Linked DNA regions of Caenorhabditis elegans. The protein of the gene in region 1 interacts with the protein of each later gene in a biochemical or structural test. Each region holds a gene or a part of one and is shown on either strand. Other genes may lie near its edges. The genes, in order: gls-1 and gld-4.

The links.
Region 2: of the proteins of gls-1 (region 1) and gld-4, one has a biochemical effect on the other in vitro, tested with the Caenorhabditis elegans proteins (one study listed by BioGRID).

Annotation. Positions count from the first base shown.
Region 1 is NC_003279.8:8,735,063-8,743,464, forward strand, and holds gls-1 (Germline survival defective-1), read left to right. Parts: upstream 1-2,009; coding exon 2,010-2,156; intron 2,157-2,205; coding exon 2,206-2,356; intron 2,357-3,058; coding exon 3,059-3,246; intron 3,247-3,344; coding exon 3,345-3,421; intron 3,422-3,473; coding exon 3,474-3,567; intron 3,568-3,614; coding exon 3,615-3,944; intron 3,945-4,041; coding exon 4,042-4,361; intron 4,362-4,409; coding exon 4,410-4,603; intron 4,604-4,688; coding exon 4,689-4,927; intron 4,928-4,975; coding exon 4,976-5,084; intron 5,085-5,129; coding exon 5,130-5,366; intron 5,367-5,496; coding exon 5,497-5,612; intron 5,613-5,655; coding exon 5,656-5,848; intron 5,849-5,898; coding exon 5,899-6,062; intron 6,063-6,126; coding exon 6,127-6,306; intron 6,307-6,353; coding exon 6,354-6,435; intron 6,436-6,486; coding exon 6,487-6,681; intron 6,682-6,742; coding exon 6,743-6,885; 3' UTR 6,886-7,486; downstream 7,487-8,402. Other genes in the region: prp-4 (Pre-mRNA processing factor 4 (PRP4)-like domain-containing protein), read right to left, coding at 1-94, 137-274, 341-493, 559-645; dhfr-1 (Putative dihydrofolate reductase), read left to right, coding at 1,160-1,294, 1,339-1,469, 1,516-1,668, 1,711-1,861. UniProt on the Caenorhabditis elegans protein: Required maternally for germline survival by forming a maternal complex with gld-3. During hermaphrodite development forms a complex with gld-3 which promotes the sperm/oocyte switch freeing the translational repressor fbf to turn off sperm promoting factors.
Region 2 is NC_003279.8:9,115,788-9,123,804, forward strand, and holds gld-4 (Poly(A) RNA polymerase gld-4), read left to right. Parts: upstream 1-2,327; coding exon 2,328-2,480; intron 2,481-2,561; coding exon 2,562-2,729; intron 2,730-2,853; coding exon 2,854-2,997; intron 2,998-3,106; coding exon 3,107-3,280; intron 3,281-3,329; coding exon 3,330-3,467; intron 3,468-3,511; coding exon 3,512-4,595; intron 4,596-4,693; coding exon 4,694-5,140; intron 5,141-5,194; coding exon 5,195-5,403; intron 5,404-5,953; coding exon 5,954-5,974; 3' UTR 5,975-7,394; downstream 7,395-8,017. Other genes in the region: ZK858.2 (uncharacterized protein), read right to left, coding at 7,413-7,508, 7,555-7,828, 7,916-8,017. UniProt on the Caenorhabditis elegans protein: Cytoplasmic poly(A) RNA polymerase that adds successive AMP monomers to the 3'-end of specific RNAs, forming a poly(A) tail. The enzymatic activity is enhanced by its interaction with gls-1.

The DNA.
Region 1 (8,402 bases):
AAAAATCAGCGATTGAAACGCGTGCCATCCGAAGTTCAATCGGACCACGATGATACCAAGTAACGGTTTCTTCGTCTGCTTTATCAGCATTCACCTTCAAATTTTTAAATAATTTTTCAAACATTGAAAAACTTACTTCATCAGTATGCAAAACGGCTGCAATTTCATCTTCAGACATTGTTGAAAGTAGAGCTCTAAGTCTTTCTCTTCTATCCAATGCATCTTCTCCGAACAAACAAATTGGTTGGTTTAGAGCACGAAGTTTCAGTTTTACCTTTAAAATATATCTTCAAGTGGGTAGTTATTAAAAAAATTTTATTCATATGTATCAAAACTGTACCTGAACATCATCTGTTGGCAATGTGAGAGTTCTTGCTCTCCGTCTTCTATCAAATTCTGCAAACATTTCAGCATCGTGGCGTGAATCTGCTTGATTTGATACTTCCATTCGTTCCAAAGACACTGTGGGTCCATGGTTTTGCTGTTGTGCATTCTGAAATTTTAAATTAAAATTCAGAAAAAATAACATAGTCAAAGAATTCATGAAAAAAAACATACCAAGATTGCATTCACGCTTTCTGCATTCGCCAGTGATCCAAACTGTCTTGGCGGTGCTGGAACAGCAAAATTGCCATTTTCAGCCATTTTGTGTGCTCTTAAAAAATTTAATTACTTTAAAAACCACTGTAAAGAATATGAAGTTATATATTAGGACATTCAGAACGAAGATGTGAGACATAGGAATGGGCTTGTAGTTTTATTATAATTTATTATATTTAGTTGTGAAGTTTAAAACATTTTAAAGTGAACAAAGGAAAGAAAATGGCATAAAAGTTCAAAAAAAGCGGTGAAAATTCTTCGAAAGTGGGAACCAGTAATCGCGCTCTAATGATAATTTGAAGAAATCTGAGGTTCTCTCACTTCTTCTCGATTCATTTTCACCCTCATTTTTTTTTGATTATCTATTTTTATTGATTTTCCCACGATTCATTATCTTTATCTTCGAAATCTGTATTGTTTGAAGATTTCAGTCGATACGAAGTCGAATGGAAGCGTATTTCAAATGTGCTTCGTTTTGCTGTGCAAAGTTCTCATTACCCGTTTTTAAAATTTTCTCTGGTATCTCAATCGAGTTATTTTCTATTTCTAGGCATTAAAAATGAGAAAAATGAACTTAATAGTGGCTATGGATGCCGAAGGAGGAATTGGCAAAAATGGCGTGTTGCCATGGCGAATCAAGAAAGACATGCAGTATTTCGCGTCTGTTACCAAAAATGTTTCTGATCAGTCGAAGGTTGTTCGAGATTTCTAACTAAACTTGTAACATAACTTTTGTAGAGAAATGCAGTTCTCATGGGACGAAAATGCTGGGAAAGCATTCCAGTAACTCGCCGCCCGTTGGCAGGACGGCTAAACATTGTTTTGAGCCGACAACTTCCTGCGCAAAAGTCCGATGACTACATTGTTGTGTAAGCTGTCATGAAATAATATTTAACCTGTTGTTGTTACATTCAGAAACTCGCTCGAAGCGGCTATGAAACTACTTTCGGAGCCACCATTTGTGGATTCGATCGAAACAATCTGGAATATCGGTGGAGCTGAAATCTATGATCTTGCGTTGCGAGAAAACTTGGTTGATGAAATTCACTTGACACGTATTTTCAAAAAGTAGGGTGCTTGCACAGTTTTTTTACTCTGTCGTAATTTCAGCTTCGAAGCCGATGTTCATCTCAAGTCACTCGATTTCAGTAAAATGGAGAAAGTTCAAAATGCCGAGGTGTCATCGGAAAATTCAGAAATTTTCGAAGAAAATGGATTAAAGTTCGAATTTTGCAAATGGAAGGTTGTCGAGAACCACTGAATTTTTTTTTGAAATTGCTGTTTATTTTTTTAATTTATATGTATTCATTCACCTGTTGTTTACTCGGGCAGCCCACAATTTTCACGTGTAAATATAAAATCTGTACATGATTCTTATTACTATTAACTTTTTGTAATTCATCGTAAGTATGCGATGTTTGATATCTTATTTATTTCATTCCTTCCTTATTTTTTTAAAATTTATCCGTTCAGACGTCACAGCTTTAACTCTTCAAGAAAAGCGTAAGAAGTCTCGGTTAACTGGTATTTTGATGAAAAGTATGGCCAATAAAAAGGTGTGTTGATAAAGATAGTGAAATTCGACATATTTTTCCCTAGTTTCAGAACCATCAGCAAAAGAAAAGTACAGACGGGTCAACGATGAACGGGAATAACGCAACAGCAACTGCCGCTGCAACAACTCAGAATTCATCACAAATTGGACAAAATTCCAATTCCAGTCATAGCGTCACCAACGATAACACTTCCAGCAATAGTACGTATACACGTTTCTCACAAATCTGTTTTGAAATAACAAGGACGGCTGTTCCTAAATAGGTTTTAGAATTTTCTTGCAGCAATTGCAAATTAATTCAAAATTTTGTGTCTTAATTTCCAATGGTTCATTTAAATCGAGATTTTGGAGACCTTGGTCTTCACAATCTGTGCTTAAAAAATGACCCCGAAGAAAAGAAAGAAAGTGAATAGACGAGTACAGAACCGAGGAGGGCAAACATATATAATAAAAATAAAAAAGAGAAAGAGGCCACCAACACAGGCACGATGCCCCTTTTCCATCTCTTCCTCTTCTCTTTTCAATAAGCATCAAGGTGCGAAAGTCGATTTATTTATTATAACCCAAACTATTACATTTGATTTCCCTATTGATGTGATGAGTGATAAGCAATGACTTTTCTAGCATCTAAATTTTAACAATTAGATTGGAACGTCTATATTAATCATTTCATATTTATTGATTTAATTTTAGAATTTGATTTATATATATATATATATATATATATATTCAATGTCCTATTATTTCTATGTATTCTCTTCTGATTTTGGAATACTTCAACAAAATTCTCAAGAAAACGTTAAAATGAAACATAAAGGGTCTCTAAAATGCGGTAAGCAACAATGTAAATTTAAAGAAAATTCAACTCTCAAGATTCATAGAATTTATTTATATTCATTTCAGACGCTTCGACGTCTACATCGTCCATCACCTCAACTACCACTACGACCACTACAGTACCTTCTTCACAGCAGAGTCAATCTCAAAATCAATATTCACATCAAAGACTTTCATCGACTTCTTCAACGTCACAGCAAACTGGAATTTCTAAATTTCCTGCCAAAAAGGCTGGGCACAACGAGCTTGAGAAGGTAAGTAGGCGAAGATAAATTCGACTGAGTCTATCGTGCATAATTATTTCATATTTTAAAACACATGTTTTCTCAACCTGTTTATGATTCACTTGCAGACAAGCAACACTGCTAATTCACAATCGGGTGCTTTCAAAGGAACCACAAATAAAGATCGGCCGAAGGAAAAGGAGAAGTAATTAAATCAGTAACTAGTTAAAACAAATCCTTAGCTTTTGCTCGTTCAGAAACACTCACAGTGGTAATAGGCAAAGTCAGGTTAACCATAATCATCATCATTCAAACCATGTTAGCGGAAATCAGCAGAACCGAAAGAATAAGGTTTGTATAAACGTATAATTACGATAAAAATTAATTTTAATGTTAAGAATCGTGATCATTCGAACCAAAGTTATCGAGGTGGCTACACACATAACCACAATAATTATCACTCGTTGGAAAATGCTAAATCTTCTGGATTTCTGTCAAATTCTTCCCTATCCTCTGCGGGACAAATATCAGCGTCTTCTGCTCCTCCAGTGAGCACAACTCCGACTGCTATTCCCATCTTTCAAGAATCCAAAATAGTTCAAACAGATCCACCAGTCGAAGAAGCAAAAAAGAAGAAGGAAAAACCAAAAATCAAGCGTGATGAAGAGCCGATGCCATATAAGAGCACTGATCCGAAAAATATGGATTCTGTGATGGCATTCAAAGAGGTGATTCATAAATACAAGACATTTTAGTATTTATCATTTTTATTCAAACAAAATTTTTAAAAAGTTATTAGTTTTCAAAACGTAGTTTGGATTGCAGCACGATGAATGGGATAAGGTGGAGTTTATGTGTGAACTTGTTTCTTTCCTGTCTCCAACCGATCTTCGCCTGCTTGGAAATTGTATCGAAGGATCTGTTCGTTGCTATAACAATCAAATGCGGCCAGTAGAAAAGACTTCAAACTGTTCGGATCCAACAGCTGGTTTACCTCAATTCGTTTGCTCTCCTCCACCTCCACCGCAACAAGTTTATTATTTTCCTGGTATTGCGGATGCTGCCCTGTATCAAACAAGAAATGCAGTTAACTCGGTTTTTGTACAGCAACATCCACCTGGTCTTCCACCGTTATTAGGCGGAATGTATGCATTATTGTCGGTGAATTATAATTTAAAAATTTTTTATTTCAGGCAGAATATTATGTATCCACCTGATGCTAACTTTCATCATTCAACCTCTTGTACGACACCTTCATCATCAGTTTCCGTTGCAAATAAGGATGTTAACAATGTACCAGTTGTGCTATCAAGTAGTGTGAACGGAATAAGCAATAATATTCCATCAGATAGACAACAGCTAGATTCCAAACCAAATACTGCAAGAGGTAAAAAATCTTCATCATTATTTGACACAGTTAAAAAATGTATTTTACAACACAATTTCCCTCTCAAATTCGCAACATTTTTCAGGTTCGAGCGGCAATATCAACCAATCTAATACAACATCACCAGAACCGGAGCCCGGTTCTAATCACATCTCCACCACAGCAGCAAACCCTGCACATCCAACTTCAGTGACTGTACCACAGTCGGTACCACCGGTCCCTCAAGAACCAGAATTGTTTCTCAAATCTGTTCTCGATCTTACCAGTTACATATACACTCTCATGGCAGTTTGTTCATCAACAAATAGAAAATCAGCTGCTAAGGTGAATCAGAATACGACTTTAGATGGTATTTAATCGATTTATTTAAAGATCTCTGACTATGTTCAAAATGTTATTCTGAGAGAAAAGAGCCAAATACTCGAACGTATTCCGGATGAACTTGATAAAATTACCGTTTTACAAGAAATCGGTAAAATTGGTAAGTCTTCATTTCCGTGTTTTGGAGTATACTTTTTTGTTTCAGTCGCAGCCATGACTCATCACCCAGCAATTACTCTTGATGACAAAATGAAATATGCGGCTCTGCGGGACGGATTACGTGCTCAAATAGAAACATTGTTTAGACAATACTACACAACTCAGAAACAGTTGGAGCAAAGCAATCTTGTTGTACCATCATCACAAGCTGTTGGCGATGAGAATGATACTGATTCCGACCATGAATCAGAGGAAGAATTTGAGCCACTATCAGGTGTTATGGGTAAGCAATTAATTAATATTTAACAGAATTTTTCACATGCATTTCTAGAAATTTTTCGATAATTAGTCGATGAATTGAGTTCGGAACATTCCAACTAAATCACTGATAACATTCCGCATCTTTTTTTCAGGTTCGCGTTTCGAGAGTAATCCAGTTCAGCCGTCGCCATCAGTTCCGGGAACATTCTTTATCATTCGATTTATTGGACGACAAATTGAGAAGAACGATAATCTTTTCAGCCTGGAGGTAACACGCAACCTGAAGTTTCTGAAATCATAAAGGTTTTCAGATTCATTGGAGTGATGGTGACAGAACATTTGCTCAAAGATCTCGTGATCAATTGAAAGCTCTACAGCATCGTCTTCTTGATGAGTTCGGACAACAGAGAAGTGAAAAATATCTTCATCAAGGATGCACTACATCCTACTCTTCATTTGACGATGATAACAAAAAGCTTTCAGCGAGCACATCTACAATGGAGAGTATGTATTTTCAATTTATAGTCTCTAATTTACAATTTTTATTTTTGCAGCGTTTGCTCCAAACGGAGAGCGTATTGTTCCACGTCTTGCTCGTGATGCGACTCCAGCTCAATATGTTCAATACATCAATGAACTTTCTGACTTGCCAGCTAGAATGATGCTGTCAGCTGTAATATGTGAAGAGTTCAACGGTACCAGAGCGAAAACAGAAGATGTTAGTTTCTGATACTGTTCATTTCTAGATTGATTGAAAAGAACGAATCTATTCCGAAATAAAGCTATTGCAGGAAACTCGCGAAGCATCGGATGGATTAATATATTCTCGATGGAAGAATCCACGTGCCAAATCTCCAGTTCGTTACTTCAAACGAAATGCAACAGGAAGCATTGACCCGATTGAATTGCCTGTCAATATGCAACCATTCCTTTATTCAAATATCCCGCAAACACAAGTGCAGGTTTGATTTCGAATTTTCGTAAAATCTGAGAAATTTTCAATTTCTAGACGCTGTTCCCAAGTTGCTCTAATTGTGGCGGTCCTCACGCTCCGAAACACTGTGAAAAACAAACATTGTTATCGAAGAAAGGCATGTACAAGTTGAATTAGATGGCAATAATGAGAATAATCAATTATTAAGGTGATCATAGAACTCGTTCAGACGGGGAAGGTTCTCAGCAAAATGGTGGAACTTCCTCTTCCAATTCATACGCTCCAATTCATGCAAACCTCCCCCATGCAGTATACATTGAAAATCCGCAAGCAATGTTAGGATCAAATCACTTCAATCATCATCAACAACAGCACATAATTCAGAATACTATATTCCATAATGGTATGTATTAAACTTTTAAAAATTAGAATAATTGATTCAACATGACACAATAATTTCTCAGGTGGACAATTTCGTGCAAACGGAACATATGAACCGCAAATTCCGATAGCATACTATCATGCCCAGGGAACTGTACAAAACTCAAATAATACTGGTGGAGTCAACGGAAACAGTGGGGGCGGGAACCAGAATTCGAATTTCTGAGAGATGCTGAATTGCTGCTCCTTTTTATATCAATTCTTGTGATTTCGTAATAGTTTTCTTCTTTTTTTGTTCTTTCTTTCACCCAATTTTTTTTTCATTGTTTATGTTTAACGCTCACACATTTTAATTTTCATCGACACGTGTATTATTGAATTTCTCTGATCCATCACATCCCGATTGCCATCATCATCCTTAAAGCGACATTTTCTCGTTAGGTACGTACACGTGGTACAACTTCGTTTAAACTATAACAAATTATCACTGAAGTCTCGAAAAACGTTCTCTTTCTCTTCATAATTCACAAGCCAAGACCACCTGATTAGTTTTATTCAATTTTTTCTGTTTTCTATATTTCAAAATGCTGGTCATTTCTCTCTTTCGTTTAGGTATTCACTTTTTTAATTTATACATATTTTTGTTTATATATACATATATCTTTTTGACCACCCCGTCTTCCACCTTCAAGAATAATATCGTTGATTTCTTGTTTTTTTTGTAACCCTATCTCTCTCTCCCTCTCTCTTCCCTCTAAATTTTCTTTCATTTTCCCAATTATTTTAATTGTTTCTTAGGTGCGAAATGAACGGTGGAACTAAAAAAATATTTACAAAACTTTATGCTGATAGAGGAGAAAAACACAACATTTGGGATACAAAAAATTCGAGAATCGCTTCGTGAAATGATGACTCACACTAACATAAAATTTTACACATTTTTAAAAATGAAATACAAATGAAATAATTGAACAGTTTTTAAAGTATGCGACAACTAAGAAAATGCATTTGGAATTAATTATAATCGGGATTTTACAAATTGAAACCACGGAATGAATTATTAAAATCACCACTTTCGAAGATTATTTAGAAATGGAGTAAGTTGTTTCAGAAAAAAAAATGAATGGACCTTGTTACGTCATGTTCCCGATGGACACTTTTCTAGAATCGATTGAAAACTGAAAATGGCAGGAAATGACAATTTTGGATGAGGGTTCGGGAAGTAAAGGTAAAAAAAGAAAAATCAGATGATCCTGAGGATGAAAAGGCTTGATGAACAATTGGAAAATAGGCAAATTTCAGAAAGTTACAGACAAATTTGAATATATTGCAAAGCTTGGAAGACACTGTGTGAAAGAATTGATGATTTTTGGATGATTTGACATTATATAAATATTATTGAATTTAATAAAAAATTAGTTTAAAGGCACATTTGTATATCGTGTCAATGCACCATTAAATTTAGATTTTAATCAAGAAACAATAATATTTTTAATATGTACATATCTGATCAATATGATTTGAGGAAAATTAAAATGTTGAGCAAGAACACGAAACATGATAAAAATGTTGAAAACTCAAATTACTCGAAGAGATTGAGAATTAAAGTGAAAAATCGATATTTTTGGACGAATTCGATCCGTAGTGTTTTTGTTGAAGTTGGCGATATTGATATATGCATCCGCGAAATCTATTTTTGCCCATTTGGCTTGGTTCGGCTGAAATTTTTTTTTGGAATTGCCA
Region 2 (8,017 bases), 380 kb from region 1:
GAAGAGATAAGAGAAAGATCATTGTGAAGATGAAGCTAGCTGGTTATAAAGAATGCATTCATGTCCCCAGTCCATTTCGTGACTTGTTTGATTGTGAAGTGATCAGAAATTCACATTTATAATTAGAAGAGTTTTTGTGCATTGGTGTGATCTGCTATTTTGAATTTTCCTCGAAATCAAAATAAATTTAGTCATATTTGTAATAAAAACAACATTTACTGTTCCTATGCCAGATACCTAAATAATGGCGAGTATTCGATATGACAAATTCTTGAACTTTTTCGACCATTACGTCGTCTTTGTTTTTTGGCATAGATTTTTTTCTGTGTTCCATTGCTTTGCGGAGGTGGTGGAAGACATTTAGCTGTGTGTTGCGATGGGTCTGGCTGGTTGCTGCTGTGCAAACTGCAAACGGCTATTTTGATAATAGTGGCGAAGAGTGAGAGAGAGGCGGGGAGTGCGAACGAATATGAGTGGAAGAGAGGGTGGTGTATGTGGACGATGACCGTGGCTGTGTGTTTCCTAGTCTCGTCTCACTGTTTTTTTTTCCGAATGTTTGTAGTGCATGAGACTCTAATTTCGAGTGTACTAAACGCGCGCGCACAAGATTAAGAAGCTTCCTTTTTACTTCAGATATCTTTAGGAATTGCTACCTCACTATTAAAAATTTGTAAACTTTTTTCTTTACTTGAATTGGTTTTTCTTCCAGTTTAAAATTTAAAAATCGGTATTTAAATTAAATTATAATTTCATTTGAAAAAAAAACCCTTACACTGAAATGTCAACGTACATACATTTTTACGTCTCAATAGTTCACTAATTATGCATAACCATCACACGCATAAAAATGTCGATAGATGGTATTTGTTATTACACCTTTCTTTCGTCATCTCACTCTTTATTTCATTTAAATCTCTCTCGATCTCACAATCTCTCGTCATAGATCCATCCACCCGCCGGTCGAAAGATTTTCTTCTTTGGTTTTTATCTTTCCGTCTCGTCCAGCAACGTCCGTTTCTACACACTGTAGAAAGAAAACTTTTTTTGTCGAATAGAGACGATACCATTTTTCTTCTTTTTTTTCGGTTCACAATTGAGTTATCACTTCCGCTTTGAAATTATTATTGAAAAGTTTCATTGAGTATTACTTCCGCATTTTTACGCGAGAGAGTAAAAATATTAATTTACTTTTATAAGTACTGTGACCTATAAGCCTAATTCTGTTAAAATAATCTATGATTATCTTTGATTGCTTACTGATAGCCGGGTTTATCTTCAAAAACTACTAGCAATCACCAAACAAATCTTATATACCTGCTTTTCTTATTTTGGAAAAATAATAGAAAATTCAAGTTTTTCTGGAAATTTCAGTCAGTACTTCGAATCAGCTCGCCTATTCCTCTATTTATATTTCTAATCTCTATCCACTCAGATAAAAAACAAATTTCTGAGAAAATGCGTATTTTTCTCTCTTTCTCGTCTAAAAATATGGTGTTTACTTATGATCTCTCTGATTTTTTGTCGCTGTCTCTCTCTTCGCGGAAAGCCGAGATCTGCTTGCTCCGAATTCATTGCCTGTGGCTCAAAAATTGATATTGTTGAAATGTTGAGATGCATGGGAGACAAAGAGAAAAAGTGACGTTGTATTTTGTTGTGTTCCCGCGACAAGCAGAACATATGGAAGTTATTTTTGAAAAATATTGATAAAAAATGAATGTGTGTTCAAGATGTTTGTTTCTTTGTACTCCATGGGCATCAAAATACAAAACGAAGTGAAATTTAATTCCTTTCAAGAAAACTTGATTTTTATCAAATGTTTAAGAAAAGTTTAATTCGTTGAAAAACGCAAAAAGAAAAAGTATGGGGCTCATCATAATGGAAAATAGTAACGAATAATGTTACATTATATGTAAAACCCTCAAATCAAGTTTATTTTATGATTTTTCTCTCTTTACAAAGTATTTAGCAACAGTTGTTTTGTTTTGTTAGAAAAACGTGGTATCTCTTTCTTTGCGTTTATCTTCATCGCATCGACTCTCACTCTTCCGTCTAAAAGATGGGGAAGAGCCTTCAAAAACTATTCCCATGAAAAACGACGATTATCTTATCACTCTCCTTCTTCTTCACACCCCAATTCCTTCTTTCCCGTTCTGATCATCTCATTTTTATCACAACCTCTTCATATCTATGGGCTCTTTTTTTTTTGACTTCCGGAACTCAGTTTAGTTTTAGATTTATGAGTTCTCTTGGAAGATTTCTGATCTTTATATTGTCATTATAACTTCGAACTACGTGGTTCTTTTCAACTTCTAAAAGTTTATTTTCAGATGAATGAAGACAGCAGATTATCATCATCACAACAACCGTCAACGTCGACACCTCGTTCATCGATTCCTTCGACTATGAATTCGGATGAACCAAATACGTGTCGCCGTCTTAGTCAGTCCCAGGAACAGCCATCAACGTCCAGAACTTGCAAAGTAGGTTTTACTTAAACGTGTAAACAAATGTTGACTAGTTATCAAAATTAAAAACTGATTAATCATTCAATATATTTTCAGAGTGAAACTCCAGAGTTTGGATATAGTGATTCATTGCCGTTCGCCCCATGGCGAAGGAAACGGTACGGACTGAATATTCAAGGACTGCACGAGGAAATTGTCGATATGTATCATTGGATAAAACCGAACGAGATAGAGTCGCGACTTCGAACGAAGGTCTTTGAGAAGGTTAGTTTTACTTTTTCTTAATTTTTTGAAATATGTAGCAAAGTTAACCGAAAACTCGAAATCTGTAACTTCTCGTAATGAAAAAAAAAGGAAAATACGGAAAATATAAACATTAAATTTTCAGGTCCGCGATTCTGTGTTACGGCGATGGAAACAGAAAACAATAAAAATCTCAATGTTTGGAAGTCTTAGAACGAATCTCTTCTTACCTACTTCGGATATTGACGTTCTCGTTGAATGCGATGATTGGGTTGGAACACCTGGAGATGTATGTTTTTTACTGAGAATTAAATAAGAGAAAATCTTGATAAGAATTTTGAATTCAAATCATAGTTATATCAGTTATTACTTTCCAGTTTATATATTTGTTAATTCAGTGGCTTGCTGAAACAGCACGTGGACTTGAAGCGGACAATATTGCGGAGTCGGTGATGGTCTATGGAGGAGCATTTGTGCCTATTGTGAAAATGGTGGATAGAGATACTCGATTGAGCATTGATATTTCATTCAATACAGTTCAAGGAGTACGAGCAGCTTCATACATTGCAAAGGTACGATAATTAAACCCGTAACAGATACCAAATATTATCATTTTTTTAGGTGAAAGAAGAGTTTCCATTAATAGAACCACTTGTTCTCCTGCTCAAACAATTCCTTCATTACCGTAATCTCAATCAAACATTCACCGGAGGTCTATCCTCCTATGGACTCGTCCTTTTGCTCGTTAACTTTTTCCAGGTAATTTTTCCGTTAGCTCAAAACGTCTATAAAATGAATTTTAGCTTTACGCCCTAAACATGCGAAGTCGAACAATTTACGACCGAGGAGTCAATCTAGGACACTTATTGCTTCGTTTCCTCGAGCTGTATTCTTTAGAGTTCAACTTTGAAGAAATGGGAATATCACCTGGACAATGTTGCTATATTCCAAAGTCGGCTAGCGGAGCAAGATACGGTCACAAGCAGGCTCAACCAGGGAATCTAGCATTGGAAGATCCATTACTTACTGCAAATGATGTCGGTAGATCTACATACAACTTTTCTTCAATAGCCAATGCCTTTGGGCAAGCTTTTCAAATATTACTTGTTGCCGTCACATTACGCGAGCGAAAAGGGAAAAATCATGTGGCTATGAGAGCTTACAAAGGATCTCTTCTCCATCTCATTATGCCATTCACATCAAAAGAGCTCACATATCGTAACTGGTTAATGAGTGGTGTGTTATCAATGCCTGGCCAAGAAGCACCGGCATCGTATGACTTAAATCAATTGCATAACACTTTGGTTTCTCCGATGGTCGATCTTTCACGATACGCTTGGCTTAGAAAAGCACCAGCGAAGGCAGAAAAGCGGGATTCTCGACCTCTGACGATTGTAAATCCAGCAGATGATCGTCAAACTCTTGCCCAACAGTTGAAGAAGCAGATTCTGGAACAAACTGAAGCAAAGAAATCGTTAGAAAAAATGCCGGCTTGTGATGACAACAAAAAAGAAGAGGAATTGGTTGCAACAAGAGAAACTGATGTTGAATTGGAAGCAGAAGATACTGAATCAGAAGGTCATCATAATGGTGAAAATGATTTGATTCTTACTGGACCACCTCTACCAACGTCTACACAATCCGTCAATACATCTGCCACAGTATCTACTGCAGCGAGTATTTCGGAGCGAGAAGACACTGATTCACCAGGACTGTCTTCGTCAATGGGAAATCAATCTTCAGAAGAAGATGAGGATAACGGAATTAATAATCGAAACAATTCTGCTGTTCCTGTTCAATTCAAGAAACCCTTCAATGAAGTTGTTGCCCAGCCAGCAAGAGAATCGAAGAGAACGCAGACAACCAGTGAAGACAAGATGCAAGATCGTGAGTTTTCTTTTTTTACTTTTATCGAAAGTGATTTAGTTTTAAGTTTTTTTTAAAGTTTTACATCTGCATTGATATTGTGCAATTCCTATTTTCAGAATTCCATTTCAATGGATACTCATATCCTCCACCCTCACGATATGCAGCAGGTACCGCGGCACCATCACACAAACATCGTAATGCGCACCCGCAACGGCAGCGTCCTTCAATTCGTAATCTTTCACAAGGCTCTGATGGGTCAGATGAATACAATGTTGAATCATGGAACAACAATATAAGACAAGGAAGAAGAGCCTCGTCGAATTCACCAAGTCCATCCAGACAGCAGACGAATACTAGAAATTGTGGACCCACTAATAATATTCCCTACGATTCATTTCGCTCACAAAACAAGAATTCGACGTTAGATGGTTCGAATAATTCATCAGAAGAGCCAATAACAATGTATGCCGATGTTGTTAAAAAGAAGTCTTCGATTACAACATCAACCAATACTTCCACTGCAGATGTCAACGTCACCAATGGAAATCCAATACCCGCAAATGGTTGGTAACTATTTAAAATTTTTTAAAGAATTATATAAAATTGACTGATTTTAGGAATAATTCCACAATCTATGGCCGTGGTCAACGTTGGAAGAGGATCCTATAGAAATGCTCTTACAACTTCCCCCATGACGCCTCCATCAGCACATACTTCAATGCAGAAGCAACATCATTTGCGTAAAGATAACGAATGTGGTTTCGACAACAACTCAGCCACTTCTTCTACTGATTTAAGCCATCATCAACCACAATTGGTTCCACCGGTAAGCACCAGGGCTGAGCAGCAGGCCAAAAAAATCGGCGATCGCCGACATTAATTTTTTTTTCGGCGATCGGCGATCACAAATTGCCAAAAAAAATCGGCAATCAGCGTGGGCCTATTTTTTTCAATTGTAAACAATTAATTTTAAGAGCTCTTTCAAAGAATTATTTATAAAATCTAAAAAAGTAGGCAACGAAAAGCACTCCTTGATACCTTAAAATTCGAAAAGTAGAGAAAAAAAATCCGAAAATATACCTTTTTTCTTCTTCAGAGGGGTCTATCTTGGACTATAAAATTTCATCGGCGATCGCCGAGTTCTTATTTTCTCATCGGCTATCGGCGATCGCCGATTGCCGCTCACCCCTGGTAAGCACCCTCAAAATGGCATCGTTATCAAAAGCTTGAAACGTTGAAATATACAAACTTTCACATTAGGCCTTCGGTTGGCTATTAGAGATACTGTAACAGCTGTTTTCGAAAAAATTGACTGTCAAAAAATGTTTACGTCCATAGTTTTTTTTAATCTTTCAATGACCGCATTCAGTTTTCAGGTGAATCGTCTGCAGCGATAGCGTAACTTTCATGGATGCATTGTATTTCCCTTCCCATGTTTCTTGTTCTCATACTGATAACAGTTTTTTCACTCTCTTTCCCATAAGTTTTCACATAATTCACTCTGTTTTCTCTCCCACACCCCCGTATAGATTCTCTTTTTGTCGTCCCCGTGTGTTAGTTTTCAATTGAAAAATCCCAGTAGATACAATATACAAAAAAAGTTATTAAAAGAATTATATTCCCCTCACCTAACCAATTTTGTTGTTTTCTTTTTTACGTTTTCCTACCCATCATTGTATTCCCTTTATATTCTCGTTTAGAAACACTCCCTATCAGAAAATGCCCAAAAATTGTTTTTCTTTCCAAATTTTCGAACTCTCGCTGCTCAAGCTGCCCTTGTTTATTTTTTTCTATTTTCCATATATTCCCCCGAGTTAATATCATCTGATTCATCATTGATTATTATTTTTTATTATTATTATGACTTCCATATTCGCCCCCAAACATACACGTCGTGCACTCGCTACAAAAATTCCGGTAATATGTTTCTCGTCCATTCTCAAATAGCAACTTTTTCGCTTTGTTTTACTTACATCTAGAATGTCTTGAGAATCAATCCATTTTATTCACATTTTGTTTACTTCCTTCGAAGACGATTTTAGCCTGTTAGTATGATTCTCAAGATATTCTTAAATTCCCTTTTACCTGTTCCCCACACACACGAGTTGCGATACTTATGTAATATTATTGTCGTCATCGAAGATCATGTATAATGGAACACAATTCACAGTTTAAGATTCCGTCCATTCGTAGAAGTTCAAACGACTCTAGTGTACGGTATCGAAAACAATGAAGCGTGATTGTATGCGATGTTCTGTCACGATAATGAGATAATAATCGCTTTCTAATAATGTGCTAGGTGTTCTGGCTTGGAAATAATAATATCAGTTCTAATTATTATGAACTGATACTATAATTCCCAAACCGCTTTGTTCTTTCCCTCATTTTTTCTAGTGTATCAGAATATCATTCATTGGTCTTCATGTTTTGTGTTCTTTCTCTCCCAGCTCTCTTAATTCCAGGTCCTCTATCGTGTATTGGAACTGTAACACTTTCGGTTTTCGCGTCTTCGTCGTCGCTCCCCAAAAACGCACACTGAATAATCAAATCGGGTTCTCTATCAATCATCATGCTCCTCTCTTCCGTTCATTCTTTTCATTTCCATGAGCTCTTTCTTTCGGTTTTCATTACTTCTTTGCCCTAAACATTCACAAACACGCACACATTCTTCATTAGGTTTCGTTTTATTTCCAACATTCTTTCCTGCTCCGCCTTCACCCTTTGCCAAAAAAATGGCTTTTATTGAAGTATTATGTGTGTGCAAGTGTTTCTCTGTAATTATTTGATGACTACCGCTTCTCTTAAATAAATAATTCTCTGTATTTTTCGAATTTATTAATCTTGAATGAGACTCAAAATCAGTTCGATTCGTTCCCATTTGTTCTGTTTATTGAGCTTCTCATTCTCCAAGTCTTCCAAGACTTTGTCAATCTGAAAAATACACTTTTACACGGATCCTTCAATGCTTTAAACTTACATAATCCGATTCACAACTCATTAGTCGAATATTCCATTCAATAAAATCAAGTGCTTCCAAAATTTCATTCTCATTTTCTACTGCCATTTGAGCAATTCCAATCGACTCGAGACGATTAAATTCCCGTAATTTCGCACAATTCGATGAATTTGATGGAATTATTGTTGAGTTTATTGTTTCTGTACACGCAGGTGAGTTATTCAGAATTTCAGAAATAATTTTCTGAAAAGCATTCGAACTCACTGGTTCCATGGCTGTCGAAGTGTTGTCGATTCTGTAATGAATAAATTATTTTTCTTATAAACACACGGTTCGTAATTTTGATCGTGTTGAGACCGGCTACCGTAATCTGGAAGCTCACCGTTTGCTACGTGGCAATGTTTGTGGAGTATTCATTTGAATTTCAGTTCGATTAGCTGTTATCATTGAAAGTCGACGACGAACACTATTGAATACGGAACGA